Drosophila melanogaster: one gene and its partners. The gene in region 1 interacts genetically with each later gene. Each region holds a gene or a part of one and is shown on either strand. Other genes may lie near its edges. The genes, in order: Galphaq, Plc21C and Syt1.

Region 1 (7,933 bases):
TATGCAAATGTAAATGTTTTTCACACAAAAGTTTACCTTTTGACCAGTCCTTTTTAGGCTGAAAACTAAAATCACATCCACACACAATTTCTGACCAAACACAGAACTGGCAGCAAACTTACCTGTAGCACACGTGAAATGAGAATAGATAATTTTTTCGGAATCTGGATTTAAATCTACAAACATTCGCAGTATAAACTCTCGGGCCGTTATTGCATCTCGCTGAGGACCTGTTTCGATAAGAAGGCGAATATGAAGTTACGTCTAGCGTGGTTCTACGAAAACTAGCAAATAATCTACGGATGATATTGGCGATTTAAGGCAATTACATAGATCTTAAGTACATAAGGTGAAAATCCACCTGTGGCCGTTGTGAAATGCGAATAGCATTGACGTTCGGGATCTGGATTGCAGGCCAAGTACTTTTTCAGAACGAACTGTTTGGCCGCAGCGTGATCCTGTTTTGGACCTGGTTCATTGCCGCATAAAATCGTACATAATTATGGCCACCTTTATCATGCGGAACACTTACCATCGTATTCAGGAAAATAGTCTACCAAATGCGAATACATTATTTTCTCTTCCAACAAGTCCTTCTTATTCAGGAAAAGAATAACTGACGAATTTTGAAACCAAGGGTATGTAATTATAGTACGAAATAAAGCTTTAGATTCCTCCATTCGATTCTGTGAAAGCGTACAGGTGATTATTTGTTTAAAAAAAATATATTCATAACTTGAAATCATACCTCATTATCAGATTCAAACAAGATTTGATCGTACTCCGATAGCGCTACCAAAAATATAATTGATGTCACATTCTCAAAGCAATGAATCCACTTTCTTCTCTCGGATCGCTGACCACCGACGTCTACCATTCTGTTTATTAAGAAAAATATATTATTGTAAGAAAAGTTAACCAACAAATTAACTACATATAAGGCCAAACATACAAGCATTTAATTCTAGAGCGCAAGCAACGAATCTATTAGTAACTAAATTGTAAGAAATCGTCTTCACTAGCTTTACAATGACCATTTACATTACTAGCCTTGCCGGTAATTACCAATTGATATTTTTAATAGATACCTAAACACAATGCCATCCAAATCGAATGGATACTCAAGAATGCCAGTTGTCGGCACTCGAGCACGCAGAATATCCTGCTCGGTTGGCAAGTAATCAGCCTGTTCAATTCGAGCTAGATCGCTCAAGTAGCTAAATTAGATAAATTAATACACTTTTAAAACAATGAACGGAACCAAAAGCAGTGGCAAAAATAGTTTTGCAACCCGTCTCAGTCCATCAATTTCGCTGAAGGCCCTAACTAAGTCCCTGAATTGTTTGCTTGAAGAGACATGCGCTAAAGAAATTCTTAAGTGTGTAGTTACAAAGTACAAAATAAATTTTAACCATAACCAAACAAGAGGTCATGCACATGCAACGAAGTAAGGGTAGAAAGATGGTATGTACCTAAATCTGATTTCTTCTAAATCAAAGGGATACTCAATTATCCCTGTTGTGGGCACACGAACTCTTAAAATGTCTTGCTCAGTGGGTAAATATGCAGGTTGAGCCACACGATCGAGATCCTTCAGATAACTATACATAGACAAGATAATTGATTTAGTTTGCATAGTCGTTTCGGTAGTTTCAGTCTCTTCAGTTCGTTTTTCGGTCATTTTGCGGACGGATTTAAACCGTTCCCTTTGCATGCCAACGGTTAACTTACTATTTGGCTGAATCAGTCAGCTGATATTCCCTACGACGATCATAGCACTCCTGGATGCCAGCATCGTCCCAAAGCGTTTTGATGGCATTCAAGTATGGATCCTCGAACGTGGTAACGGTCTCATAATCGATGCTCATCACCAGATCGGCCAGTTCCTGTGGATCGTAAGATGTTGTTTAAGATTCAGTGACTTCAATTAGATCAATGTTTCACTTACACTATGCTCTCCCTGGCCGTAGGAAATCTTCAGCATATCCATGGCCTTGATCATTGACTGCATGGCCATGAATATGTTCTGAAAAACCAGCTTGATGTACCCACGCTTGTCCTCGTCCGAGTAACCGCTGCCGTGGATAATACGCATCTGTTTGATGAATGTGGACTTCCCGGACTCGCCAGTGCCTGGGGATATAGGATTGGAAAATATATATAGCCATAAGCGGCGGGCAAACAATGCAATTAGCGAGGCGGCTTCAATTGCATTAAGCCAGGCTAAGTGCAATCGAAATGGGCCATGCTCCACTTACCCAGTAGTAGCAGTTTAAGCTCGCGGCGCGCATCTCTCTTGTCCCGGCGCAACTGCTTCTCGATTTCCTGATTGATGCGCTTTTGTTCCTTGGCCTCCTCCGATAAACAGCACTCCATGCTAACTAGATTTATAGACGCTTTCGCGTGCTGCTGCCACTACGCTCGACAGACCGTTCCGTATATAAAATGTATGCTGTTTGGATGGTGGGATGGTCTCCTGGACTCCCTTCTCTGGACCCTCGGACACCTAGCTAATTGGTTGTATGGCGGGCGTTGAATTCACCCGTTCCAAGTTATAGATTCTGTTGTAGTTTCGATTGGTGCATTTGTACTTCGGCTTTGCTCGCTCTGCAGACCTCCTCCAGCGCTTACGATCCAGGCTCTCTTTGGCTATTGCTATTGCTAATTACGGGTCTACGCTAAGTTCTTGACCAGATTTCGGTGACTCGGAGGCTGAGAGTGATGGTTACTAATGAACAAAGACCACATCGAACGATCCAAGAACATCTGCAAGGAGACAAAGCTTTGATTTAGTGCTTGCATAACCGAACTGTAGGATCTATCCAACTATTGCTGCTACGGACCACCACAGTTGTTGGCCCAACGAGAGTTCGCCGCGTTGTGTCCCGTGCTGACAATTAACATTTCATATTTGCTAGCCTGCCCCACTAGCTGGCGACGTCGATGACGACGTCGGATATAGATTGCCCATGGCTACCCATGACTACCCCGGGACTTCCTCTGACCATGGCATTGGCTTTGGTTCTAAGTTCTGGGCCTGCTCTCTCTGCGCAGACCTGGGATCGCCCTCTACCAGGTGGCAATAGATTGAGGAAGCGTTCCCCACAATGCCCCTCAGCCAAGTTCAATGCAAGAAAGCTGATTTTGGAAAATATATGGCTTCGCTGGCCACAAGTTAGCGAGAGTGTTCTCCTATTGGGTGGACCAAGCAGTCTATGGATAAGAAGAATTGGCATATCATTCTAATTCGGAAATAAAAAAGTCACATACCGAAACTTATGATGCAAAAACACAGCTCTATACACAAAACTGGAATATCATTGCATAAACTTTAAAACTCTTAATGTACTTTTATCGTTAAAAGATATGAGTCCACCCGAATCCGCGGTTCATTCATGGGTTCAGCATAGGGCATGCCTATAGAATATAGCCTATAACCACTGGTGCTATTTCCTCTCTTTTCCAACCCCTAGTTTATATATCGAGTGATGGCTAATCCAATTTCGTTTGGCGAACACATTGACATGGGTCGAGGTAAGGCTTTCAGCATGACCACTACCAAATATCGATGGAATACCTAGCAATAATTTTGACAAAAGTCTGACCAGGAGAATTTGGCGGGCTCAGGTGGGCGAATATGGAGATCTGGATAATGATGGCTAGACGCATAGTATTCGGGAGGATTAGTGGGCTGCACTCGGAACACATTGCTCGCTGAGCAAAGCCACAAAATCGAATTAGCAGTGGCAGCAAAATTCAGGGGCAGGGGCACGCAATTGGCGCAATGAAGCGTTTTTTAACAATAGTTTGCCAGATATATCATGCCACCAAATCAGAGGGAGATTTACCTACCGCGAACTGGTCTTATCTGCCTTACATATTGTATATGCTGATGATAAACCACTCTGAGATAACGTTTGATTTGACTTCTTAATCTTTAGACGACTACTGCTCTTCTGAAAATCACTGTTCTAATGCAACCCATTTCCGAAAAACCATTTCTAAGCCGGAAATAGCTTCACGTTACTCATGCAGTTCCTTATCGCATCCTCAGCCTATTTTTGCTGGAGAATTTATGAGCTCATATTTTAGATACAAAAGTACCCTTTCATTATGATGAAAGCATGGCTTTTACACAAAATAAATATATTCGAATGGATTTGAATAAGATGGATGACAATCCATTAAACTCGCCTGGAGAATAATTCGATTTTTGGATTATAATATATTTCGGCCAGTTTTTAGTGGCAACCAACAAGTGGTCGGAGTCAAAAATTAACCACGAAATTACGATTCTTGTATTCAATGAGCATTCAGTATTACTTACTTAACATTACGGAGACACGGGACTAAAGGTATTCAGACGAGATTCTCCAAAAAGATGTTCCGGTTATCGTCTCGATTTGTTTTAGCTACCACTATGTTATACAAAAAATATTGAATTTCGGGTTTTAGTACGCCGATTGAAGTTCTTCCGGATTGATCGTGTTCTTTTAATTTTTGTTTTTGGTTCCCTGCCGATGTTCGGTCTGTTTTAAATATTTTTAGTTTAATCACGCGATTTGCTTTGCGGTGCGTTGGTTGGTCTTACGTTTTTTAGTTAGCTTAAACTAATTTCAAAAGCATTTCGTTTTTAGTTGGTTTGCGGTTTGGAAAACATTTGTTTTTAAGGAACGTGTGTAGTTGGTTATATATTTTTTACTGGTGCTTTTTAATATAAAAGTTACGATAACGTCTGTTCGGCTTCCTTTTAATGTAAATGTGTGATACGATACTATTTATATATGTAGATATATATCTATATATAATTTTCCCTTTTTGCTTCTAGTTTTCGGTGTGTATGAGTGCTGTTGTTGTTGTTGTTCTTGGTTTTTAACGTTTCTTCTTGTTGTTGTTGTTTTTAAACACCAGTCTGTAAATGCAACGAAGTTTCAACAAATATTCATTGTAGTGTAATTGAAACGGAAAAGTATGTACGACGACAACGACGACGACGAGCGGTCTTCAAATTGATTTCACACGAAACACTTAGTGGCTCCTTTTGTATTTAATTTTCTGCATATTTTATGCTTCTTGTATTTGTTTATTTTTCTGTATGCAGTGGAACTGCAAGTAAAGAAGAGAGACAGAGAGATAAGGAGAAGAACGATGGGGGGGGGGGGTGGTATTATGGGTGGTAAGGTGGGAATATGCATTCCGGAAAATCATCATCATACTGGCTAAGGTAAACACACACGACCCTCAGCTACCATTTTTTTTTTCATTTTTTGGTTAGCCCACCCGTTTTAAGCCCAAAAATATGCACAATCCACTATGTAGTTACGCGACCCCAACTAACTTCTCGCTGGCATGCACCGTTTAGTGGCAAAAGAAAACCACATTGAGTTAAACAAACTATTTCTTTTTTAAATTTCTCAACTTTTTTCCTATTCGCAGTGTTTTTCTCGGGCAAGCAGTGCGACTTGCTGCGCACTGCTTTACGAACGAATACACACAAATATAAGCGAGGGCGTTAACGAAACGAAAAAATTTTGATAGCAATGCGATTCGAAGATTTCGCGATTCGATTCGCCGTTTGTTTAACAATTATGGGGGGGCCTTGCTTAATGGCCAGCACTGTTTGGCGAAAAAATACACTTTACACTGGCATTTCGGGGAACGTTTTCGGTGCTGCTAAATTTTTTTTTTGTCGAGGGGGGGACTTTTTCGGGTGGCTGCCAGGCGGCTGCGGATGGCGACCGCTGGCTGGCGGGGAGTCCGTTTGACGGGGATCTTGCTCGAAACTCACAACATATTCGATTTGGCATCGCTCGCTACTCACAACATATTTAATTTTGCATTTTTCGCTAACGTTGACGCACGACCCGACTTTCGATAGCAGGAGGCGTTATTTGTCCGAACCTATCGGCCCTATCGTTCGTCGATATCGATGGTCAAACCAATCGGACGGCATTTGAACTAGTGGTGGCAAGATATCGATGATGGAATAGATGCTCTTAAATCAAAGTCTTCATTGTATTACATAAGGAAGGAGTTTTATTTGCCGCATAATAACTAATAGAAGTGGTTTATAACAAATAAAAACGGATTTCCTGGCAGTTCAGCTTAATTTGAAAATATATTACTTTTGGTATTTTTTAGTTGCCACCCCCACCACAACACATGTCGGTGTTGCCATACGGATTTCTATTCATGTGTGTCAATACACATTCTTAGCAATAAGGTTGGCAACGCCTTACATCCTTCAAATAAGGATGGCAACGCCAGACATCCTTAAAAATAAGGATGGCAGTGCGCCATATTCTCATAATTCAGGATGGCAATGCCTGATAGCTTTAGGAAAGACTGAAAATGTTGTGTCCTTTTCACTCTCTAACAACAGGGAATACACTTACCATGCACTTCCATATTCGTTAAGCTGTGACCCGAACCAATGACTATGATCGTAAATTTTAAATAACTAAATATATGTGTGTATAATTACCATTTAGAACATAAAAAATGCGAATATCGTAAAACGCCGGTCAATCGTCAAATTTACAAGCACTTTCTATCTTCGAAATCAGAAGACATTGCCCGCCAAATCAAAAGACTTGTATTATTTAATCTATGTTTTATTGGCTTTCTGTAAATTATTATCATTTGTTCAATATGTTCATGCGATAAATAAGTGTTTAAATTAATTAAATAAAATTAAAATAATAACTTTACAGTGTGTGCACAATTTAAACAATTATTTCGGGTTTCGTGTGATTTACAATCGAGTTAAATAAAATAAAAACATCGAATCGATCGGTTAGTGACTATTGGATTGTGTTCGCGTTATAAAGCTGTAGCTAGTTCGAGTCTCTCAAACGAAAAATTAAAAACCAAAGTACAAATTAAAGATACACGTAATCGCTAAACGTTAATGTTGTTACTTGAAACAATTTCCAAAACTTCGGGGACCACAGAGGAATTACATCTGGCCTTTTTGCATCGCCCCAAAAATACATTCAATTGACTATAAAAAACTCGTACTACATATTTGCAAAATTCACAAAATACAAAAGGTTCAGGCTGGCTATCTCCTCCGACTTTTGATTTGTTTAACAATTACTCTAGCTCTCGAGTGATATGTTTTACATTTGTGGTTTGCCATTAACAAATTACAAATTAGATACGTTTTGTTCGCATTAATTATGAGCACAATAATAGGATTAACAAATAATATATGTATACGTAGGTTTATGCTTTAGGTTTTCTTGAAACTTAGAACTAAAAAATAATGTTTGAAACATTTTCAAAATATTCTCTCTCTCATTCCTCATCTGTGTGTTCGTTCTTCTTTGTGTTAACAATAACAATTTTATGGTTGGAAGCACTGCCCTAACGAACAATCGCTATAAATGGATTGCCAGTTACCGAATACATTTCACAAAACAAGAATTTATTAATTGGACAAAAGCAAAAGCAGCGCTCACAAAGAAAATTTGGCCAAAAGTTTGTATTTGGATTTGGACCTCCGTTCGTAAAGATTTTTATGGTTGATCTGAAGTTGCTGATGGTTCGTTGCTAGCCCAGTTGTTCCCCAGTTTGTCGCTTCAGATGGGACGCGTGAAGTTGGCGGGGAAGAGTCCCTTCTCGTTGGTGCCCTCCTTCTGACCCATCAGCCAGCCTTCCTCCTGTAAATTGGCAATAAAGAACTGAACTCAATATAGACAGGAAGTGCTGAGATCTGCATTTGGCGCGGAGGGGGAAACTAGCGCGTGCAAAGCTCAAAGGAATGTGTATCTCCGGATTCCGAAGTTATACCCTTGCAAATGATAGAATCTAACAAGTTTAGCTTACTTAAATTGATGGAATTTTATGGAAATGAGGACAGACAATCCCATTAACATTGAAAGTAGCTTGAAGTTATATAATTACATCATCTGCAAAGGGTAAGCCAACC
Region 2 (7,933 bases), on another chromosome or scaffold:
CTTGAAAACCCCCCAAAATACCCCTTCAGCTGAGTGGGTATGGGGGCGCCTCCAATTGGAAAACTTTTGTTACACTTTGTTTTTGGGTTTTTTTTTTAAGGAAAACTTGCGAAAAGTAACCGTTCGGGAGCAATTTATAATTCCAATATTTCTTCATCGATTTGATTGTGTTCTAGAATTAGTTACCCAAGCCCAATGGATAATGCCCTACGATAGGCGAATTGTGAAAATATTGACAAAACAATTGTTTTCAATTGCACGCGAGGTAATCTTCATTCCCACCTCACTTTTGGGCACCCCTATTCGTTGGCCTGTGGCAGTTGTTTGTCTAAATTTTCTATTTATATCGCCGTCGATGAGTTCAATGTTTGATTGGCCTCCGTTGAAATGTAAAATCAACCTGGGCTAAGGACGCTTTTCTGAGGGCACGTGAAAATACGGAAGTTCAGACCCCAAAGCATACTTTTAGGCACATAGGGAATCGAGTTTTTTAAGCTTCGTTCGAAGCTCACTCCTAATTCTAGTATAACATCAGGATAACTCAGTTGGTAGCCCAACATTAGGGCACGTATGTTATCTGCCATTATCATGATGGATTGCTTCTACATAAAATTCACTGATGTTTTTCGTTTCATTACCATACTATCATCACCACCCGAACAACCGGCAGATCCGCCATAAATCGTCTGCCACTGCCACGGATTCCGATTACAGCTAATTGCTCGACTATCTGCGCGTCGGATAACCAAAATAAACACATTAATTGCTTAAGTTATGTGCATTCGGCTGGTAATTTGTTTGTTAGGCACTTCAATTATTCGATATGTATCCTTCTTCTCTTTTCTGCGGGTCTATAACTTTAATGTCAAACCATCGCTTTGATTGCGGCAAGGTTGGTCAGTCAATTTACGACAGCTTTCCACGTCAACTGTGGTCATGCATAATCAAGAATAGGCGACAGAAGCGGGAAGGTGGGATTTTACATAAAGCCACCGCAAACAAAATGAATTTGTGACAGAAAATGATAATTATTAATTAAAACCGCGTTTCAGTGTCACCGCAAACAAACTCCAATATATTCTAACACACCCGAAACACGTTTGCGCGCACAAATTTAGTTCTATTTTGTTTGTACGCCAAGAATTAAAATTCGGTATAGCATAAAACGAATTTGTGATACTCTTTCCAACAAGCACTCTCAAAACACAACGATTAGCGTAACACTTTATCTATTTGAAGAGAAATGTTGATGCTGAAAGTAAGTAAATTCGATAAACGAAATACAATTAGAATCCGGGTGAGCTTATCGCATAAGAACGAATACTTAATTTCTGAGTAACGTTTTCACTTAGTCTATTGTTTTAAATTTAACACTTCCGTATATGTCTGCTTCTCTTTTCCATTTTTATCGCCCTTTTATCTAGTTTGTCAACGTTATCAGTCTGGGGACAGAGCAGTATCAGCAGAAGCAGAGAGAGAGCAGGAGTAGGAACCCCCCACACACACCACACCCCCACCCATGTCGACCGGATTGTCCGACGTATTAGATTTGACGCTTCATTATAATGATAGATCGCTGTGCAATGGTCTATCACCAGGAGCAACCAAATGGGTGCCACACAGCGAGAAAGTCGCGCTCCAACATTGTTGGTCAGGTTAAGTTACATGGATTTAACAACAGGTTCGTTTTAAGATACACAAGCCTGGACTCAAATGGAAATGTATACACTGTATACACCTAGAGCAATACTACGTACATTTATAGGACTAGGGAAATCATTTATTCACCTTTTTGTATTAGGTTTGCATATTCAAAAAAGTTCCATACTTTACATATCCTTAAAACCACTATATGCGTTTTTCAGAAGAAAGGGATACAGAACTATTTTGACAATCGAGGTCTTGCCAGTATGCAAACAACCTTTTTCCAGTGTACGTCCATACGTACGATAGTTGTTTAATTTTCCCAGTGACCTACGTTGCGTATGCGCGACTTTTATTCAGTTTTGTATTCTCGCGTTGGCGGCTGCTAAATAATTAATGAGCAGCCTCAAGTGGTGAATCGGATGAGGCGGGTAGAGAATGAAGATAGAATGGAAAATGGAAAACCGAGTGGAAGTGAAGCAGGAGCAGAGGCATGGCCATGTCAGCATAATTAGCCAAACACTCACCCACGCAGACTAATTGTCCTTTCTGGCGCTTGTGTCCTTTAATGCCTTAATTGTGTTTGAATGATTGAAACTAGCTGCCTTTGAAATGGAGGCCGAGGGAGACAAAGGGGCGTGGTGCAGCAATCAAGTGGGATAATTGCATATCAGTGGTGCAGCTGATGCCTCAACTTGATAAATGCCTCGAGTGGCAACTGAAACAGGACCTAACTGAACACACAAGTGGATGCTGCAAAATGGAAGCGGAATAGCAAGAAGGCGAAGACACAGAGAGCTGGCAACTTAAAGCGTTTCGCTAATTGGCACCAGGAGCTGATGTGATATCTGATGCGCTACTCATTAGCTTTTTGCAGCTTCCCGCTTCGAATTCATCGCACAGATTGGCCATAACCTGATAACAAGCTCGAATCGGGGTTCTCCAACGATTCCCCTTTCAATTGGGCGACGAGGCGCTCCAAAATTGAATGGTTGCTAATTGCTAATAAAATTGACTTTTTCAGTATAGATGAATGTTATACCTTTTAGGTTACACTATGGTATGGTATTTCTTACTTATAACATAAAACTGTGAAGAACCTATATCCACCTCTGACTGGCCAATACCCATTGCAATAACTGGTTTGGTTTTTTTTAGTTTTCCAAACGTATTTAATGTCCTAAAGGCCACGTATCGTTGGGAGATCTCAAATCAAAAGCTGGCTTTGCGTGATTCACGAGCCACCCAGTGAAGCGTTATCTGCCCCGTTCTCGGATTTCCAAGCCAGCAGTATCTCAAAGATTTCGAGATACGCGCCACGCCACGCCACGCGCTCGGTACGAGTTCAAGTACAACTGGCAATGGCAAGGCAACAGCGGCAGCGCCGCAAAATCATTGACAAACGCCTTTCGTCCCCGCGACAGATCACTAGCTTGGCTATCGACAGAGATCTTTCAAGTTTTCCAAATCAAAAGCGAAATATTTAAACTTGAAAAGGAACGAGAATGGAAGCGAGGCACAACAAATAATTTGGCGTAGCTCGAATAGAAATCGACCAGTTTGCCTATAACGGCAGACGCACGATGGGGAGAAGGGGGCAACAGCATTTTTCAGCACAATTTTCAATTAGGCAGCCGTGAAAGAAAACGATGCTGAACAAATAAACTGAATGAGATTGTATTTTAATTTAATTTTGTGTGTGCGGTGCTGAACTCGAGAATCGTTTTCCTCCGCCCTCAAAACTCAACTCCCTGATAAATCCGCAGAGTGAAAAGGTTCTGTTCGGTGCGTTACCTGTGCCAAAGTTTTTGACTTTCAGATGAAAACTTCGTTGAGTGGAATTTGTATTTCGTAAGCAGCGAAATTTCAATTTCAGATTTTGCACCCGCTGGCAAACGAAGATAACCTCTCCGGTGGTAATGGGATTTTTTATTGGATTCGCTCTCCTATTTTAGTTTAGCTATAGTTTTTAACTGTCGGCTTAGTCACAACGCACAGATACGGAGAAACACACACGCACTCGGCTGCTGCAGATACGGATACGGATTCTGGGGACCCGGAGAGGGTTCCTCCGGAGAAAATCTCGGGCGGGTTTTCGGGCCAAAATCTTCCGCTAATACGACCGAACGCTTCGGCGAACGACGAATGTCTGTTGGGAAAATCTATGTGGAAATCTCAATGCTGCTGAAATGCAAAAACGAGAGAGCTGAAGCTTCTCAGTCTCGCACATTTCGCCGCGAGCTTTTACCATGTTACACACTTCTCTGGCATTTTCTCGGTTTCTCCCTGAGAACCTCTCTCTGTTTGAGAAGCTTTCTCTCTGCGTTGCCAGGTTTTGTTTTTGTTTTGGGAAAAGCGTTTGCGGCGAAATGTTCATGTTTTGATAACGGGAGAACGGTCCCCCCCCTGTGGGAACCCTCCTTTTAGAGGTTGCAAGGTGCGAGGGGTGGGGTTATGTCAAGCGGGGAATAATTTTCAAATAAACAAGCCAGTCCGGCAACAATGAGGCTTGAACCGACAATGCCAGGCAAACGCAAACCCCCTTGGCGAACCAGAATTGATAATAGTTGCTGAATAGTTTGGCAAAACCTTCGGTGGAACTCGGGGAACGGAATGTTTACTTGGACAGCGCCGTCACATCGCATCGCCTAATCAGCGGTTGAAACGGCCAGAAAATCAAATTAAAATTGCCAATTTGGGCGTTGTTGAGTGGGCCTCGCCTCGCCTCGATTTGAATTTGAATTTGAGTTTTGGTTTTGTCTGCCGCTACCCATTGCAGCCGGGAATATATATATATATTTATTTAATTTTAATGCCCCGACATACGCCGTACGTGAGTACAGCGTCAAATCGTCCGGTCTCGGAACGCGCGCATGTGCCACAAAAAAATAGAGGAACAAAAACCGTCGAGAAGAGGAAGCCCAGATATATGGGTTCTGACTGTTCCAATACCCTCGCTCAACGAGTGCTCTACATCGCATAACGTGATGTTCCGCCCATGTTTCGACTTTGTTCATGCATCACAATGCCTGTGACTTAGTTAGGTAAGAACTTTTTTATGCCCAAGCGTAGGAAAACCTTTTGTGACATAACAAAAATGTAAAAAATAGATCATTAAATTCATACGTAGTCTGCGAATTAAAAGAGATTCTACACCTATATCCCCCGACTGACGGATGCTATAGGGTATGAAAATACGAAAATATTAACGCGAAATAGGAAATCAGAGATCGGCCAAAAAGTCGGAAAATATGTCAGCGCCGAGGGGCAGCGGGAAAGATGACATCCAATATGCGGGAAAACATTGAAGACCTGACCCACATATTTCGTTGGTGGTTCTCCTCAGTTTCCTTCCACCCTTTCCACGACTTCTGCTTTTGCCCTCCAAAAAGTGATTGACAAGGTGAGACAAATTCTTCTGCATCTGTATCTGTATCTGTCTCCGTCTCCGTATCCGTGTATTGGGACTCCACAGCGGCGACAGTTGCAAGATGCTCCCCCTCCCCCTCCACCCTCTGTTTTGTACGCTTGATTGATTGCGGCTCGGCGTCCCCAAGGTCACTAGGTGGACTACAAAAGATATGCAAATATTGGGTGCCGAACGAAAGCTGCGGGCGTGACTCACGACCACCCATCGGGGTCACCAAACATCCCCCATCCCAGTGGGGAACGAGCTCGGCCATAGGATCGACAAGCAGTCATAAACTCGAACTACTTATGGCAACTAGCAATTCTCATTGCATATTTATTCGGCTATAAAATGCGAAAGAGCAGCCGCACATGGGATCACATGGCATTCCATACCAAGCGATCCCTAGATCCCCAACTAAATAAATTTCAAAATTGTTTATTTTCTTCCAAACAAATCAGCGTGCATTAAAAACAGCGAACAGAAAATTTGAAATCCAAATAAAACATTAACATCCGGTGGGAATCGAGCGGTCCCAACTCACGCCGCCTTTCCTCACGTTGCGCCCACTGTGAGTGGGTGGTGCTGCTGGCATTGTTGTTGTGGGTGGTGGTGCTGCTTTGAAGTGGGGATTTACAGGTGTTTTATCTGCCAGTCTGTTTGTTTACAAAGGTCATGAGTTCCCAGACGAATGTAACTAAATTAAACTTTTCGGAAAGCCAAGCCACAATAAACACGGCAGCTCTTTTAAGGCACATCATAACGAAAAACTAAGAAGTTTTCCAGAACGGGGATTCCCCTCCGGATAACCACATTAAAGACCAACTTATAATGGATAACTTTACCAGTACAGTGTGACCCATATCATAAACGAACCGCAAGACCGTAATTTTTTTATTCATGTTCCACTTACATACTTCAGAATTTGCATAGGGCCGGGAATTTGAAAACAAATAACATACATAATGGTATTTTCATGATAATTCCCCATAATCGAGTCTATTTATCAGTCTGGTGGTGTTTCACCTTTCCTTAGGCAATTTAATAATGGAAGACAAGCAACCCAGCGAAGAAAAACAATTGCAAACTGGCAACGAAGGGAAATGAACATTCTACTGATTCGTAATAAAAATATCGGGCAGACTCTGTGTTTGCCAAATGCAACAAACAGAGAAGAACTTTTCAAAAATTCGCACTTGATTTATTTATAAAGCCATGATGACGTCGTCATATCGGATCGAATCGAATCGGGTATAGTCTGGTTATTTTTCGGATCTGTTTGCGAGCACGAGCGTCTCCCCAGAAGAAATTATAAAATAATGCAGGGTGCTCTGGTTTGGGGTTAAGTTGTGGATGCTGGAGAAGGAATTTCCTGCGCTAAAACGTTTAATTTATTAATGAGATTTATTTATAGAGCGTTGAGCGCTCTGCGCTGAGTGGGCAGGTGAAAGGTTGTCGATTGGTGGTGGTGGGTTGGGGTGCGGTGGTATGTTTTCAGCTACGCGTGGCTGAAAAAAGAATGAGCAAGAGGGGGGGGGGGTTTCCAGGGGTTTGGCCCCCACTGCTTTCCCGCTCTCTCCCTCATCACAATGACGCGTGGTTATTGTAATTAAAGTTATGTGCGATATGTGCTGCCACTTTTATACACTTGTATTCACCGCACACTCCCTACCCCTCCTACCACCCTCCCCATCAAGCACAAGTTCCCAAATTTCCTTTCGGCTTTTTAATGGCGCCTGGGTGCGGCACACAAAAATAATTTACAACATGTTTTGCTTGTTCTGTTTTGGTTGTTGTTATTCTTGGAGGGTGAGTGGCGGACGGGGAGGAGTTTGGGGAGTGGGCCAATTGAAGTGGAAGAGGCAGCAAATATACGGCAAGATAATGAGAGCATTATGGTAGAACGACATTATGGAGCATATGGCAAGCCGGGAAAGTATTGTGGTAGGAAACAGAGTCAAATTATTCCATACAACTGCGTATGCAGTTTGAAGCCATGGATGGTAGTAAATCAACAATGTTATTCATGAGACAATTGGATGCATAGTACGTGATTCAACAATAAATAAATAAATAAAATGTAGTTTAATATGCGATAGTTAAGCAAGTGCCTTTATACTCTAAACAAGTATTTATGCCGATTCTCCGCAGAGAACGAAAGAGTTTCAAACTCTGCTCCCGGGCTTATCTCTTGATCTTTTGACCCGCCCCTCCTGCGCTCAAGGCACCTGCGTCTCTCCTAACCCCGCCTAACCCCCGAGCTACTGATAAGATGCACTGATTAGCTCAGCACAGAGGCAATGCAATGAGATCACTCCCCCCGATCGATTAGGACCACTCCGCCCTCCTCCCACTGCCGGCCACCCAGAGCTGACCCCGCCACCCCCCTGGGAGTCAATAGCTGAGATTACGGCATCTCAAAGCTTGGAGACGATCCGTTCATTCGAAGAGAGAGAAAGAGCGCGGGCACCTGCCATCGTTTTTAGTGCGTTGTTATTCAATAATTTGTTTGCGTTCTTAGCTTTTGATGCGCACGCACACTCACGCAACTTTTCTTGTTCCTTATTTGAAAGGTTAATAGAATTAAACACATTTGATTACCTGAGCGAGAGAGAACCCCAAAAGCGGAGCTTTTCCGGAGCGAGCGAGAGAGCGACACTCTGTTATGAAGTAATAATGCAGAAAAAACAACCGTATTACGACAATTCTTGTTGTTTTGCAATAAGTTTAGGTTCGGCGAATTTTTGCGGGAGCTCTTATTGATGTTCTTGATGCTTTGGTTACTATTGTTGCTGCAGCATCACTTAGCAAAGACAACAAAAAGCAAAGTCTCACGCTGCGATTGTTTTGTTTTTTTTTTCGTTACTCTCACGCTGCACA
Region 3 (7,933 bases), on another chromosome or scaffold:
TTAATTGAATTCATTAATATTAACACCGAGCTGCTGGTTCTGTTCTCCAGCTGCTTTTTGTAGTCGCTCGTTTTGAATTTTCCGCATTTTACTTCATTTCGTTTACTTTAACAACTTGAGTCGTATTAATTATGGACGGCGGATGGCTGCTTGAGTTGGGTGCTTGGCTCCTCTTTTCCTTTTTGTCAGACATCCTTTGACCCTGAACTGCCATTGTTGCAGAGACGGACTCCTGGGACTTTGGGAGCTTGGGGGTTGCCCCAGTGGAAAATATACGCGGGTACTTATGTCTCGCTGATTGGCAATTTCTTCTCTCATTTGAAGACTGCAATTTGGGTAATCCATCAAAAGTTGAACGACACATGTCAGCCGAAAGAATACTAAAAGTCGAATTTCATTGGAATATTATTGGTTCACTTAAATCTGAACAGCAGAATATGAAATTTATTCACGAGGAATCCTATTGTCAAATTGATTTTATGTTAAATGATATTCCAAGTCCGCTATCCATTGTTTGTTCACCTTTTGTTTGCATCTCATTGTTTCCATAAAGCATCTCGTGAGCCAAAGATAACTTAATATGTCACCAAAACCACTTATCCTCTCAGCCAGAAAGAAAGAAAAGCAAACTGTGTGTGTAGAGCAATTTAAAGCCAAAATGACTGGAAAGCGATGCTTCTCCTATGGCTTTTCTCTTGTTTACTTTGCAAATGACGTCAAAGGACATCCATACCCTGAAACACGCTAACACACACCAACGGAAAATGGAAAAGAACTCGGAAAACTCGAAAAAACTCGGCAAGCCGCTTAAATGAAAAGCCTGAAGGCAGCTTTGTTTATTTGGCCCCATAAATATGCTTAAAATTCAAAAGTTGTGGATGCCACGCGGGTGGAAAATTTAGATGCAAACTCTGTGTTTGCTCAACATACAATACAATTTGCATGAATAATGTGCGAAATTAAGTTATGCGGGTTAATTGCCTTCTAGGCAAACGCAATTTGCGATTTAATTCAGTTTTGGGTCGAAAAAGGCATCTTTAAAATCGATAAAATTAAGCTAAACATATTTTTCAAATAAAAAGGCATGCATCATGGCTTAAGTAATGAAAACTAATTATAGAAATATTTCTTATATATAATTTTTACCTGTATAACTTAATCACATACTTATTTGATGTCCATACCTCACAGTTAAACTAGAGCGACTAAATAAAAGTACTGCTGCTGGACTAATATACATACATGTTCTTATCACGAATTTAATGAAATTGTTTACTTTTCACCAATTTTGCATATGAATAATAAACAGCTGTCTCTTTTCTCCGCTTATCGCTTTCTTAAATGAGTTTTTGCCAGCTCATCTCGTATTTCGCGAAGATTAAACTTAAGACAGACAATTTCTCTGTAAATTATTTAAGAGTGCACAATTGATAAACATCATAACTTTAACATGATCAATATAAATTTTAAATGTTGTCCTACTTTTAAATGCACTAACTTATTTTACTTTTTAGAATGAGCGACCACGACTCTTGGCCACTTGAGGACAAAAAGGAAAATTACCGAGAAATAAATAAATTTAAATGCATCTAGGACAAGTTGTGCGGCACAGAAGCTGCCTGGAAATGACTCCTTGAGATGGAGGAAGGGGAAAACCAGTCATGTGGCAGCAAAAAGTGGAAAGCTGGGAGATGTCACGATTTCCGTGTGATTCCCTGACAAATTGCGTTGCAGCCCAGTGGCAGATAAATAAAATGGATAAACAAGGGCTTTCTACCCTCCGAAAGACTCATCCATAATAAATGTGGACGCAACAATCAGAAACACCTAGCTACCGAAAGTTGCCCGGAAAATGGCAATCACCCAAAGGTGGACCACTTTGTTATTCATATTTTATTTATGCACCAAAAAATCTCATGCTGAATTATGTTTCCTGGCATAAGGGGCCGAAAAACCCGCAAGAAAAAGAACTTAACATTAATAGGAACAAGATGTGCAGCTACTGTGATTTCCAGGAAGGCACAAGAAGGTCACAAATATTGTATGCGCCAGTTGCCACACTTTTGTCATTCTGCCAGCATTTCGTGGCACTGTTTTTTTTTTTTTTTTTGCCCACGGGTCAACGGGGCGTATGGGTGTGCTGGTTATTTTGCGGTGCCCACTTGTCTGGGCACCAAGAAGTGGCAGCTAAATAACAAACTACGCAGTTCAAAACGGCTTCGTTTCGTGCTAAAGTGTAAATTATGTTTAGGGCCAAAACAGCTGCTTCCAGTATTTGTTATTGGTAGTAAGACGCTTGAGTGGTCAGTGAGTTCATTGTTGAGCACTCGATTGATGGCAAAACATTTCCAGTAACTGTCAAAAGTGCCATAAACATGAAGGAAGTACTGCTTTTGAAAGCCAGTCTCGGAAAAGTATTATAATTGAAATGAGCAAATAAAGCAAGGTACACTGAAATCTCCTAATAAGTTCCAAAAATCAGCATTCCACTTAACGTTGTAAAATTCAATTACCACTTTTGATGAACTTACTCAATATGAACAGAACTTTCGTGTCGAAGACCCTACTAAATTAATCAAAGCTCAGTTCGGAGCTCCAATTTAGGGACGATAAGAGGAATGTGTGCTTTCCTAGTAATAATTGCTACGATTTGACCTTTGGCGAAGGACCTATAAATAGGCAGCTGTCTGCTGCTTTTTCATAAATTGTGGGCGGTGGTGCAGAAAAAGCTGATAAGGGTGCGTGGGCTGCTGGGTTGGTGGCCCGGTGGGTGGTGCAATGCAGTGACAAAAAGTGGAGCACAGATAACGGCAATTGGCTGGGCATTTTAGATTAGCGCGGGGTTCGCATGGCGATAAGATAAATGGTAAAAGGATACTGCGAGTAAGCAACGAAGAACCCGAGTAAAAATAGAGTTTTCTACCGGTCTTACCATCAAGCTGTCAAAACAAATTAACATGGGATGGATTGGACAGGCAGTCATTACCCATTACCGGGTCCAAACAAACCCGCCAGCGAGCAAATGGAGCTCGCAATATGATTCGGGTTCGGATTCGGATCTATGGCAACATCTGTGGAACCCACGCACGTAATACGGGCGAATCGCGTAGAAAATGGCCAGGAGGCTCTCGAAGCTCACGAATGGGGAAACGGTTAAACTTTTTGGCGAGCCGGAGAGTGGAAAACTATGAGAGCGGAAGGATGGAAAAGCGGAAAAGCCACACATGCCCACAGCTCTCTCTCTCTCTCTCTCTTTCTGTTTCTGTTTCTGCTCTCTTTACTGCGCACATAACCCAGAGAAGGCAACAAAATAAAAACTCGGAAAATAGCAAAGGAAATAAAAAAAAAAAGAAATGAACATGAAGGAAAATCCAAGCTAGACGTTGGAGCCCGACATTGCCTCAGGCCAGAAGAATGCCTGGCGGAGAAAACCAATTTTCCACATCATTATGCTTTTCGCTTTCATTGAACAATCCGTCTCGATGTTTTCAAAATCAAATATAGACTCCGTGCAAACAATTCATTCATATTCTCGAATTTCACACAAAAGGATTTTCGGGCGACGCGAAGGGTCAAAATTACGCTGCCGTTCGGGCCAACTTGATTATTGGCAATTATGTGCGGCCTGCCGAGCTTGTTTGCAGCATTTTTATTGCTATGCTTCGGCAATGCCCTTAATAGCCTGCCCTCCGAGGAATTCCAGCCCAACTTCGGGCTGTCCAAAGCTAATTAGCGAAGAGCAGGACTAAATCAGGTTTAGTTCTTATTAGACGAAGATAAGAAAGGACACGATGAACAAGTGATGTGTGGCACTGGGCAGAGAATTTGGCAGTCTGGCAATTAATCAAGTTAATAAACCCAAAGTATTTCAGACCTTTTGGGTTTAATTGGTAAAGGAAATTCCTGCAAATTTTTGTGAATCTATTAATTAACTTGATTATTTAGATATTAATATAATTCAAGATGAATGTTAACCATGGGAAATGTTTGTATCTTAGAATAATAAGCAATCACATTTTCTCTGATAGCTTAGAGATTAGTTTTTCTTTAGCTGCAGCAACCCTTTAGTTATGTATGTTTCTCCATTCACTCTATGGACTGCCCCAAAAAGTGTGCTACGTTCTTGTAAATACCAACACTCACCCCCTAATCAGAAATGCTGCCAATGTTTCTCCTTTCCAATCAGCAATTGGGATCCAGACTAGCGTTAATAGCTCGGTCGTTTTTGGTACTTAATTCGCTTGTTTATCGTCCGCTTTATTAGTTAGGATGATGGGTTTTGAGCAGCGTTTAACGAAGCGTGACTCCTGCGAGGGGAGCGGGGAGGGTCGGCAGCAGTGGCGACTATTTGGCAGGAAGGATATGGTGATGCGGGTCCTGGCGCTTGTCGATGTATGTGTGCTGCTGCTGCTGCCTGATTTATGTTTTTGGTTTTTTGTGACTGGCTTTGGCTAGTGAGGCCGCGGCTCGCTAGTCTCACATGAATTTCGTATACTTTTTTGGATAATTTGTAATAAAATTAATTGAAATTAATTCAATTTATTTAGATTTATTTGCATATATTTTGCAGTACAAAGGATGTCAGCGGAAAGTGAGGAAGAGAGAGAGAGAGAGAGATATAGAGAGAGAGTGAGTGAGAGAGTTGAAGAGATACGCAGCGTATACGTAATAGCAAAATACAATGGTGTGCGTAAATATTGATAGAGCGAACTCGGCTTTGTGTGTGTGTCTGTGTGTTGTGTCTCCTTGCCCAAAAGAGCATGTGTGTGCGTGTTGGTGAGTGGGCAGAGAGAGACAAAAATAGAGAGAGAGAGAGAGAGTGGGAGGTTGGCAAATTCGCTTTTTCCTCGAAGAAAGCAAATTCAGGATAGAGATTTTCTTAGGGCCATTTCTTTCGTCCTTTTCAGGGCCTCTTTTGGCTTGAATTGAGCTTTCCTTTTTTCTCTCGCACTCAGACACTTCAAGTTGATAGTTAAAAATCTCATTTCAATTTTAATTTTTTATTATTTAATTATAGGGCGTTGAAGGACTGCGGATTCGGATTTTCCGAATTCACATTGATATGCTTTTTAATCCTGGCTTTCGACTGGCCTACAGCACCACAATAGTCGGGTGGGAAAAATCAATATCCCCGCAAGTGGCTCACATGCGTTTTCACTTTCAATGATAGCCCATTTTTCAGCGCTTCTTTCATCTTCGCATTGCACATTGGAATTTTCAATTAAAATTTTCTTGCTTAGCTGCCATTTTTTCTCGACATTTGCTGCGAAAAATTCTGATACACAAAAAATGTTCTCCTTTTTTGTCAGCGCGTGCTAAACACTCGCACACACACAGTCGCATACACGCACCCACACCACACACACATACACACGCGCACTATACATTTCGGGGCTTTCGATGGCCTTTTCATTTATATAACAAATTGGAAAACACTTTCAACACTTTTGCTTTGCTTTCAACCAATTCTGTTTAATTTTCATAATTTTTTCATCACATTTTTGAATGATTTTCCATGGGCATTGCCACTTTTTATGAGCCTCTAGAATTTTTCTTTCCCATTCACCTTCAGCCTAGCGCTTTGTACTTCAGCAGTCAACTTCCACGGTCGATGTTCATTCGCGTTTTGGCCCACACGCTCCAGGAGCAGCGCTGAAAAGCTTGGGCCACTCGCCAAAACGCGAGAGCGAACCGGTTGGGGCATCGATTTTGGCCGCTCGGCCAGCGGGTGAGCGGGGCGGTGTCCACCGTGGGGGGAGCTTTTGGGCAGCGGAAATCTCGGAGGGGAAGACTTTAGGCCAGCTGGACATGGCTGAGCCCCTACGTCTGTATGATATGCAAAGGAGGATAATCATAAAATAGGCACTACCATAAAATGCATCCTTCATAAGTAAGAGTTGAATAACTACTACAGTATCTCATGTCTAGTACCTTTACATACATATTTTCAAAAATCCCTACTATATCTCTCTCTAGATTTTCCCAAAGGAGGTAAACATCTGACTGGGAATCACATGTAAAGTTGAAAGCTCCTTCAGAACCTGTTCGCAGTATGTTTTTTGGTGCATGCGTACTGGGGCGGAAGTGTCTCAATGGCACACAATGTTGCCATTTGCTGTAGAGCAAAGCTTTTCTGTGCCAAGTTTCACTTTCCGTACTATTTTTCCTTCGCCTATGAAAGCTGAGATTTGCCATGTAAATGGCGGCACTGTATCGTATATTTCACAAAAAATCAAAACAAATTACTTATCTAACGATAAGCCAAAATAGTATGACTGTGAAATTAAATCTTTTTCAATAGATCCGATCCATCCAGGCAATTTATTTGGTTTTGGAAATGCATTATTAAAAGGTCGTGCCTACTTTTGGGCTGACAAGTCCATCTTAATGACATGTCAGCACAATAATTATGAAATATAATTTAATTAATACTTTGTCACAAAAATAGTTTATAATCGTGATTTCCCCCTAGAGAGTAGCTGAGTTTTTACATGCAATGAGGATATATTTTTAAATGTTTTGAATAAATATACTATAGGAATACAAATACATAGTAAGTTACTATTAGTAACCTAAAATCAAAGCAGATACGATCTTAAATCATACTTCTTTGAACAGAAATACTTATCGACTTGCTTTCCTATGAGTTATGTATTTATATCGGGTGAATCATTAACAATCCTTTACGACGCGCAAATAAATCACGATATTCGATAGTGCTGGTCACCTTCACGCCTCAATCAGGCGGTTGGCCATACTCGGGGTTCGTGATTTCCCATATCGTTTATCTTGGGAACCCTCGCACGGCAATCGGTAATCGCTAGCGAAGAAGTTAATTAAACGGCCAGTCCTCGGGCTCAAATCGATCGAGATCGATCGCGGATGATTGATGATTGAAGCGAAGAGCGGAATGTAAACACGCACTCGCTTACGCACTTATCACTATCAGTTATCAGTGGGAAGTGGACAGGGAGCAGCAGCTCTTGGTCGGTGGTCACTTGAACTTGCTCCCAAATGGCGATAAGCGAGGCGGCACGCGCTCGATCCGATTTGGCCGTGGGGCAATTGCATTATTGGGGTTGCTGTGTCATCGAGACTAATCGATTTGAATTGGGGCAATTGGCATGATTGCTTTGGTTTGGTTTGGGGCAACTTTGATGAGGTAATGCGAAGTTTCCCACCCCCAAAAAATAGTGTTCTTTCCGCCTGCATCACCCGATTAGACTCGCAATCAGCGAATGTTTGGTTTTTTCCTATGTTATGTTTCTGATTCCGTGTGGTATCAATCGTTTTGGTGGTCGAGGTTATGGCAAGGCTACACGTGCCACCTATAATGGCCATTGGTTTTATTTGCTTTGCATATGTGGTTTATTCGGCACTTGCACCTTATCAAGTGCTTATACTCACAATCCAGATGTGCAATAGGCACAACTGAAGTTCTCACTTCTTCTAATCTACATGAAATAGCTGATAATTTCACCAGGTTTAGACTTTGTCTTCGCTGTATGAATACATGAATCACGTAGATTGCGTTCGAATTCTTGGCAAATATATTTGGATTCCAACGTGTGCGACAAAGGTCGATTGGTTAATGCCTAATGAGCTTATCTGCCACAGAAACCATTGACAAATTAATTATCATTAATGCTGTGTAATTGGTTTTTTTATCAGTTTAAATCACAAAATTTGTCAAGGCTTCTTAGTTACTTATGAATATGTACCAATAGCGTCATCATATCATTCTAATTGTAAACTAAACAAAGCGCACCCGAATAATCTTTCCGTTTTCCAAGTAAGCACTAATTCTTATACAATCTAGATATACCATTCATTAGCACCTGTCCCGCAAACTTTGGGCATGTGGTACGGATTGGCTCGAGTGTCACTCGGGGGCCATAAAAACTGACCACATCAATTCGAAAATAAGTGGAAA

What was found.
Region 2: of Galphaq (region 1) and Plc21C, changing one enhances a phenotype caused by changing the other (phenotypic enhancement), as found in Drosophila melanogaster (one study listed by BioGRID).
Region 3: of Galphaq (region 1) and Syt1, changing one suppresses a phenotype caused by changing the other (phenotypic suppression), as found in Drosophila melanogaster (one study listed by BioGRID).

The regions. Positions count from the first base shown.
Region 1 is NT_033778.4:12,610,740-12,618,672, reverse strand, and holds the start of Galphaq (G protein alpha subunit q), read right to left. Parts: upstream 5,934-7,933; 5' UTR 5,827-5,933; coding exon of another isoform or gene 5,822-5,826; exon of another isoform or gene 5,794-5,821; coding exon of another isoform or gene 5,789-5,793; intron 5,107-5,788; coding exon of another isoform or gene 5,016-5,106; exon of another isoform or gene 4,328-5,015; intron 2,887-4,327; exon of another isoform or gene 2,844-2,886; intron 2,767-2,843; 5' UTR 2,377-2,766; coding exon 2,259-2,376; intron 2,134-2,258; coding exon 1,949-2,133; intron 1,887-1,948; coding exon 1,732-1,886; intron 1,602-1,731; coding exon 1,473-1,601; intron 1,218-1,472; coding exon 1,089-1,217; intron 879-1,088; coding exon 749-878; intron 687-748; coding exon 533-686; intron 470-532; coding exon of another isoform or gene 362-469; intron 231-361; coding exon 123-230; intron 1-122. Other genes in the region: CG45086 (uncharacterized protein), read right to left, coding at 5,016-5,106, 5,822-5,826; Amph (amphiphysin), read right to left, coding at 7,584-7,664.
Region 2 is NT_033779.5:306,111-314,043, reverse strand, and holds the start of Plc21C (phospholipase C at 21C), read right to left. Parts: upstream 3,845-7,933; 5' UTR 3,439-3,844; intron 1-3,438. UniProt on the Drosophila melanogaster protein: The production of the second messenger molecules diacylglycerol (DAG) and inositol 1,4,5-trisphosphate (IP3) is mediated by activated phosphatidylinositol-specific phospholipase C enzymes.
Region 3 is NT_033779.5:2,794,343-2,802,275, forward strand, and holds the start of Syt1 (synaptotagmin 1), read right to left. Parts: upstream 5,638-7,933; 5' UTR 5,567-5,637; intron 4,495-5,566; 5' UTR 4,144-4,494; intron 3,980-4,143; exon of another isoform or gene 3,490-3,979; intron 1,203-3,489; exon of another isoform or gene 1,147-1,202; intron 1-1,146. UniProt on the Drosophila melanogaster protein: May have a regulatory role in the membrane interactions during trafficking of synaptic vesicles at the active zone of the synapse. It binds acidic phospholipids with a specificity that requires the presence of both an acidic head group and a diacyl backbone.